Mus musculus: one gene and its partner. The protein of the gene in region 1 purifies or fractionates together with the protein of each later gene. This does not show direct contact. Links are inferred from orthologs where the notes say so. Each region holds a gene or a part of one and is shown in the gene's direction. Other genes may lie near its edges.

Evidence for each region.
Region 2: the proteins of Micall2 (region 1) and Rab8a purify together in Homo sapiens (co-immunoprecipitation; 3 studies listed by BioGRID and IntAct, with this or other methods). This does not show direct contact. The link is inferred for Mus musculus from reciprocal best matches to the Homo sapiens genes MICALL2 and RAB8A.

What each region holds. Positions count from the first base shown.
Region 1 is NC_000071.6:139,733,391-139,737,726, reverse strand, and holds the start of Micall2 (MICAL-like protein 2), read left to right. Parts: upstream 1-1,393; 5' UTR 1,394-1,566; coding exon 1,567-1,709; intron 1,710-4,336. UniProt on the Homo sapiens protein: Effector of small Rab GTPases which is involved in junctional complexes assembly through the regulation of cell adhesion molecules transport to the plasma membrane and actin cytoskeleton reorganization.
Region 2 is NC_000074.6:72,174,524-72,178,331, forward strand, and holds part of Rab8a (ras-related protein Rab-8A), read left to right. Parts: intron 1-2; coding exon 3-80; intron 81-1,316; coding exon 1,317-1,406; intron 1,407-1,799; coding exon 1,800-1,865; intron 1,866-3,096; coding exon 3,097-3,147; intron 3,148-3,808. UniProt on the Homo sapiens protein: The small GTPases Rab are key regulators of intracellular membrane trafficking, from the formation of transport vesicles to their fusion with membranes.

The sequences.
Region 1 (4,336 bases):
GTGAGTTCCAGGATAGCCAGGGCTACACAGAGAAATTCTGTCTCAGAAACAAAACAAAACAACAAAAGAACATTCAGGGCAGCCCCTGGCTCTAACTGAGGACCTGGGAGAGGTACTTTCCTTAATCACCCCTGGCATCCTCAGAGACTTGAAAGAGGCTAAGAGTCTCCTGTCTCAAGACCCCTGGAGCGTGCCCCCTCAGCCTTCCTTTCCTCCTCTGTGAATGTAGAGCGGTTATTCTGGCTGGCTTGGCACCCTTGAGGGTGAAGGGAAAGCAGACAGTATTTTAAAGTTTGAGACAGGGTCTCAGGTCGCCCATGTCAGCCTTGCACCCCATATGTATCCTGGGATAAGCTTGGATTTCTGATCTTCCAGCTTCTCCCCGCTGAGGGCTGGGATTCCAGGTGTGTGCCATCACGACCAGTATCTGTCTGATGGGAAAGCACACTACTCAGCAAGGTCCACCCCAGCTTCCAACCAGACAGCTTTGTAGACCCTGAAAAGGGACACTCCTCAGAGGTTGCATCTACCCTAGCCTCTGTTTTCCCATTTGTCAACAGGCTGCCAACTCTAGAGGCTGAGGCAGGAGGATGAGTTAGGCAGACTAGGCAGCTTGGCCTCAACTTTAAAAAATAAAATAAAATAAAAGAACGCTGTTGCGGGTTTGGACTGGAGAGATGGGTCAGTCGTTAAGAGCATTTGCTGCTCTTCCAGAAGTCCTGGGGTTTAGTTTCCAGCACCCACATGGCAGCACAACCCGCTCCAACTCCGATTCTAGAAGAGCAGGGGCCTTCTTCAGGTCTCCCGGGCTACCAGACACACAAGGGGTGCAGATACACTTTCAGACCAAAGCCCATATGCATAAGATAGAATTAAAAGTAAGAAAGAAAACCGTAGCTGGGAGTGTAGCTCAGCTGGTGGTATGCTTGCCTGGCATGCAGGAAGCCTCAGGGTCCATACCCAGCACTGCACAAACCAGGCATGGTGTGGGGCACAAGCCTGTAATCCGAGAGCAGTAAAGGAGGTGGAGGCTGGGGAATCTGAAACACAAGGTCATCTTTGCTTTTATAATAAGCTAGAGGCCAATGCGAGCTACATTGGTCCCGGTCTCAAGGAAAACAAAAAAAGAAAACCCCGACGCCTCTGCTGGGAGTTATGGCTAAAGGCCAAGGCGGGAGCCAACGCCCAGAGTACCGGGCCCCTATTCTTCAAGTCCCAGGAAAGAGGGGGCGTGGTCTTATGTGGGCGTGCCCTTTGTGGGGCGTGGGTGTGGCCTGACCAAACTGGGGCGGTGCGGCCGGAACAAGGAGCCTGTGTGGAGCTTGGAGCTGGTGAGCCAGGCCTTCAAGAGGCGTGATCTTGTGGGGGCGGGTCTGAAGAGGCGGGGCCTCTAGGGGGCGGGGCCGGCGGCCTCGCAGGCGTCAAGAGTGTGTGGGGCGCCGGTCTCCCGGTGTTCTCTTCTTCCAGCCCGGCTGGTGGTCGGCGGGTCCGGGCCTCCTGCGCGTCTCGGGCCCAAGAGGGGCCTGTAGCCAGCTCCTCGAGCCGCCAGCCCGTCCTGCCGCCCATATGGCCGCCATAAAGGCCCTGCAAGAATGGTGCCGGCAGCAGTGCGAGGGCTACCGGGACGTGAGCATCACCAACATGACCACCTCGTTCCGCGATGGCCTGGCCTTCTGCGCTATCTTGCACCGACACCGGCCTGACCTTATGTGAGTGCTCTTTAACCCCTCTGTCGGGCTCTGATGTGCCGCTGCAAACGGGAAACTGAGGCCACGCCTGCCTTGGGATCCGGGTCGGAGGTTTCAGACACACCCCTCTCAGATGGGCCACCCGGGGTAGAGCAGAGACCTGCAGGTACAGCCTATTTGGTGGTCTCCAAGGCTGTGGCAGTCAAGTAGCCTCTGTGCAGGCCACCAAGTGCAGCTGGGCCAGGGGCCAGGACATGGGCTGTCCAGCCGGCTTAGTCAGTGGTGACTCAGGGCAGCGTCCGCCTTCCCCGAGCTCCCTGAGAAAGGGCAAAGGAACAGCTCCTGGGGGTCTGAGGTCTGGCCCCAAGATCAGGGCCATTTGAGGCTTCTAGTGGGATTACTGCCCCTCCTCTAATTTGTCTAGGCATCTTTGGGAAAGCAATCAAAGAGGGAAGCGCAAGCCTTTTAGCACCTTAGAATGACAGGAGACAATGGAGTCTGGGCCATCATCCTTGGAAGTTGTAGGAGAGGACAGGGATTGGGTCTAAAGCCTTCTATAGAAGAAGAGTCTTGGCATAGGAAGTTGGGAAGCAAGCCAGCTCTGTCTTGTTGAAGGACCTTGGCCCACAACTCAAACTGTTCTATCAGTTATTCACTTAGCAAACACTTAGGCAGACTCTGTTACAGGGACCTAAGTTAGTCTGGTGACCAGAGTCCTGAAATGGGACAAGATCACCTACAGCCCATGCCCTTCAGAGGAAAGCATTCTCCTGTACATGGTACATAAATGCAGAGTTGGCTGGTCTGGGAGTGTTTCCCAGGGAGGTCTTAGGGCTGAGTGAGGCTCCAGGCAGCACCTGTGGAGCCCACCTCAGCCAGCCTTCTTGCTGTGCAGATGGGGAAACTGAGGCTCCGAAAAGGAAAAACAAACAAATATTGTTCGTGTTACACAATGTGTCAGGAAGAGCCAGGCCTGGTGCTATCAGACTCCCTTGTGCCAAGCTTTGCTCTGCTCAGGAAGCCGGAATCTTGAGCAAGAAGTAGGCTTCTGCCCTGTGGTTATGAATTCCCCACCCCAACCCCCGAGCTGCTTGGGAGGGCCCCATGGCATGAGCCTCAGTCACTCTCAGGGAGATGGATGGTGTGAGCTCAGTGGGGCATCAGTCATGTGGAAACCAGGAAGCTGAGCTTCGATGGATGCTGGGCCAAGGATGTAGACCTTGGAAAATGGACTTGGGATGAGAACGTGGGTAGTCAGGTTTCTTCCGGTGGTGCAGGGGGAGTCTGGATGATGATGCAGAGTGGGGAGCTCAGATGAGAACTATGTGACGAGTTCTCAAGTGGAGGAGACGATGATGTTGGATTTTGGCTGGATTAGCCTCAGCTGGTAATTGGACAGGGACAGGGCCTTTGCAGACATGGGGTTTCCTCTGCTCCGAAGCAGGGACTATGTGTGCTCATGGCCTGACATGTAGTCCCCACAGAGGAGGAGAGGTGTACACGAAGAGATATATGTTTATTTATACTTGTATGTTTACTTGTGTGTGCATGTATATGCTGGCACAGGCAAGTGTTAAAGATTTGCTCACTTATCTAATGAGTGCCTACTGTATACAGCATAAGGTCATCTAGTGCAGGGAGCAACTTCTGGTCTCAGAGACAGAAGTTCAAGGTAATGACAGGGAACAGGGAACCAAGAGTTGGTGACAGGAAGGAGGCTGGACGAAGAGGTGCCTGCTCAGTTCACTCTGGGAGGGTTATCTCACACTGCTGACTTCCTTGCGGTCTCCCCAGCTGGACTGATAGCTCAAGTCTCTTAGTTAACCCGGTATGGCAACCTGGAGGTGGTTACAATGTAGCTGGAGCCCTACAGATAAGGGCCTGCCTTGTGGGCTCAGTAGATGTAGAAGTTTGGTAGGAGCTTGTGTGCATTTGGAAGGAGTTTGAAGGTGACAGAAGTAGGAAGTCCAGAGGTGGAGACAAGGGACACCCTGGGGCTTTCAGAAGCTGGGAGGGATAAGACCCTCTGTCCTGTAGCAAGTATGTCACTGCTACACCTTCACACTGGATCCCTGGCCTTTGGGAATCTGAGGACAGGTAGCCCTGGGTGTGGATTGTGTAATAGCAGTGGTGGAAAGAGCGTAGGGATTTTGGCAAGAATCACACTGATGAGATTGTAAAGCAGTGGTTCTCACTCAGCCTGTGGGTTGCAATCTTCTTGGTGGGGGTTAGGGTGTGTGTCAAATGACCCTTTTACAGGGGTTGTCTGAGACCATTGGAAAACACAGATAAGATTCATTAACAGTAGCAAAACTATAGTTATGAAGTAGCAACAAAATAATTCTATGGTTGTGGGTCACCACAACAGCAGCAACTGTATTAAAGGGCCACTGTGTTAGGAAGGGTTAGAAGCACTGGTGTAAATCGTGCCTGAGTACAGGAGGATCAACTTAGACCATGTGAATCCAAGTATTAAAAGCCCCCAGCATGGACTGGTGAGATGGCTCAGTGGGTAAAGGGGCTTGCCTCCAAATCCGATGACCTGCTTTGGATCTGCAGGACTCACCCACATGATGGGAGGAGAGAGATTGACTCCCCAAAGCTGGGATTTTACCTGCACATGTGCACAGTGTTTTATGTGTCTCCTC
Region 2 (3,808 bases), on another chromosome or scaffold:
AGGGTATCATGCTGGTCTACGACATTACCAATGAGAAGTCCTTTGACAACATCCGGAATTGGATTCGGAACATTGAAGAGGTGAGTGTACCCTTTTGCTTCCTCTCCTGGGCTGTGACTCGGAGCCAGGAACCTGGGAGACAGGTAGAGAGAGAGGAATAGGACCAAGACCCCTGCTGTCCACCTGAAATCATCATTGGCCCACAAGCCACACAGTGCTATTTGGCTGCTCTTACAATCATTTCTGTTTGGGGTCACATGAGCATTTGGTCCAAACATTTTGAGCTGCTGTGCAACAGGGTATGAGCCTGTCCAAGTCCACATTTGGGACAACAGGTAGTCATAGAATGAGACCCTGAATTATAAAGGGATAAAGAGGCAGCCAGTCCAGCCTACCCTCCCAAAGCCAACTTTGTCCTCTGTCCAGGTGCTAGCCACACCTATTCCCTCCCTGGCCAGCTCCACCTATAGCCCTGATGACTAAGCAGGTGGGGCATTGGATCTAAGGTGTCAAGAACTTCACCTGTCTACAAAACCACAAAGGAGCACTTTTCGCTCTGGACCCAAGACTGGTGGGCACCCAGGCCAGGCAGAGACGAAATTGAGAGCTTTGAGCTTGTGTTGGGACCAGGCCTTTGCCCTGGCTGTAGAAGTCATCTTGGTCAAAAGAGGAGTTCTGATTTTGGCTTTGGGGATACCCTGAGTGATCCTCTGGCAGACAGGAGGTATGACAGGGAGCAAAGAATGAGTTTCCCCTACAGCAGAGCTGCTCTCTGATATTCTCTCCTTTGGGAAGCATGGTCTCTTCTACAGAGGAGCTGCTGGAGGGACTGATGAGGGACCCATCTCTAGGAGAGCAGTCAGAGCTGAGCCAAGCCTGGGTGTTCAGCAAGAACTTAGCAGGAAGTCTTGCCTGTTCTAGGCACAGCCTTGTTTCTAGAATGTATAGAGAAGAGAAAGTTGAAAGATCCAAGCCGGCATTGGGACTTAAGCTGGCAAGTTGTTCAGTGGATAAAGGCACTTGCCAGCAAGCCTGATATACTCAGTTCAATTCCTAGAACCCAGATCATGGAACCCAGATGTAGCATGGTGTGTGCATGGGATGGCTCACAAGCTAACATGGAACTGCTCTAGAGGGCGTGGATAAGGTCTCTGAGCATCTGCTCTGGGAGTCATGCCTCTGGAGCCTAGTGACCATGATCTGTGCAAGCCATTTGCACAGTCAAGAAGTGTTCAACCACTAGGGACATGAGCTGCCAGCCACCAAGCAGTCCACACCCTGCCCTCCACGTTGACCCTGATCTGCCCTCTTCTCAGCATGCCTCTGCAGACGTGGAGAAGATGATACTGGGGAATAAGTGTGATGTGAATGACAAGAGACAGGTGTCCAAGGAACGGGGAGAAAAGGTAGGTGTTGCCCTCGTGATCGTTTTCAGCTTGGGTGCTTCTTCCTAGTCTTTTTGCCATCCTGACTTGCCTGAGATAGAGAGATCCTTGTGAGGTGATAACCCTAGGCAAGACAGAGCTTCCTCGTGGCTAGCAATGAGAGCTTGGCAGTGAACTCTTATCTTGTCACCAGAACCAAGCAAGGCCAGGCACAGCTGGCATCACAGCAGGGAACAGAGCTGGCTTAGGCTATGCCACATTCCTCTCCTCTGCACCCTCCCCACGTGGTGTGCAGTACCATCACACAGTGAAGGTAACACCCTTAGCTTGAGTATGGTAGCAGCCCATCCCAGTTTCCATTCCTTAGGAAACAATGGGAGTCCACACTGTGTTCATGTGTCGCCTTCATTACAGCTGGCACTCGACTATGGGATCAAGTTCATGGAGACCAGTGCAAAGGCCAACATCAATGTGGAGAATGTGAGTCCAGTCAGATCCTGCAGGGAGCCATGGGCTTGTGGGATCAGTGCTCCAGGGCTGGAGGGGCTTTCCTTTGGGAGATTCAGCCTGGAGTATCCAGAGGGATTGGCCTCTGGCTCAGGATGCCCTCTGTCAGGCACTCAAGACACAGTCTCACTAGCTCAGCAAATGAGGGAAATCAAAGCTCAGATTCCAGTACCTAGTACCCACTACCTACACCCAGCTGTGTTCCTCTCAGCCACACTATTAATTCACATCCCCAGTGAGGATCCAGGTCCCAGTGCTGTGCCCTCATCCTTATGTTGTCCCCAAGGCAGTGCCAGCCTGGCACCTGGCCCTCAGCTTTTCTCACACAGCCCTAGTGACACTCAAAAACAGACCTGCAGAGCTACCTGTAATCTCAGCACTCAGGAGGCTGAGGCAGGATTGCTGAGACCAGCCTGGGCTACACATCAAGACTGGGGGCGGGGGCTAAATCGCTCACATCACTCCACAAAGTACCCAGAGGACGGTGGCCAAGGCCTTTGTCCTGTTCAATTCCCTTCACTCCTACTCCTCCCATAAGCCACTTGGGCCTGCCCTCCCCAGCCTTTGCTACACTCCTTTCCTGCCATCAGATTCTTGTTCCCCTGTCCAGGCCAGCCCATCTCCATGCACTCTCCCCTGGCCCCACTTTCCAGGTCTCCAACACTGCATGGAGATGCTAAATCCAACCTACCTCAGATTGTCCCCTCCATGGGACAGCAGTCATTTGCAAACTGGAATTTGTAGCTGTTCTTTAAAGAGAGGAGGAACCAGGCTTGATAGTGATGCCTGTTGTCCCAGTACTTTGGAGGTGGAGGCAGAAGAAACAGGAGATTTAAGGTCATGTTCAGCTACAGATGTCTAAGGCTAACCTAGACTCTCTAAAATTAAAATTAAAAAAAGGAATTGGCATGGACAGAACATAGCCATGGATAGATAATCCTTCCAGACCCTTCTGAACCAGTTAACCACGCAATACCTTTGGGCAAATCACATGGTCTATGAGCCTCATGTCATCAAGGGCCAACTGAGAATAATGCCTGCTCGCATTCACAGGATTGTTGGTTTGGGGGAAGGCCTTTGTTCCAAGGTGCTCTACAGGGGGTGACAGATGGGAGCCTGACTGGGGACAGGAGGCAGACCTCCCTTCCCTCTAGCCAATAACTTCCCACCACTAGAGGGTGCTGACGGCCTGTTCTTTCCACAGGCATTTTTCACTCTTGCCAGGGATATCAAAGCAAAAATGGACAAAAAATTGGTGAGTCCAAGTCCTTCCTCCATGTGGGGTTCTGTAGGATGCAGCCACCCTTGACTGGGACAGCACATCACTGCCCAGACCTGCCATCCTAGTGAGAGTGTGTGTGTGTGTGTGTGTGTGTGTGTGTCAGTCTGCATGTGTGTACATGCGCAAATGGCAGCCAGAAGTCAGTGTCAGTGTGCTCTTCATTCAGTTCCCACCTTAGCTTTTGAGACAAGATCTCTGATTGGACAGTGAACCTCGGGCCCTTCTGTCTCTCCTACCCTGACACTGGGATTATAAGTACCACCACCCTGGCTTGGTCTTTGTTCAGTTTTTTTACAGTATTATCTTATTGGCTTTTTCATAGTATGAATGTTTTGCCTGCATGAATGTCTGCACCAAATGCATGATTAGTGCACTCAGAGGCCAGAGAGACTGATAGGAACAGAGGTACAGATAGGAACTACCATGTCATTCTGGGAATTGAACCCAGGTCCTCTGGAAAAGCAGCCAGTGCTCTAAACAGCTCTTCAACGCTTATTTATTTATTTATCTGTTTGTTTGTTTGTTTATTTGTTTTTATTTAGAGTCTCCCTTTTGGGGCAGGGAGGACACATGTATGCTGGTACCTCAGAGGCATGGGATCCCTGTAGCTGAAGTCACAGATAGTTGTAAGCTG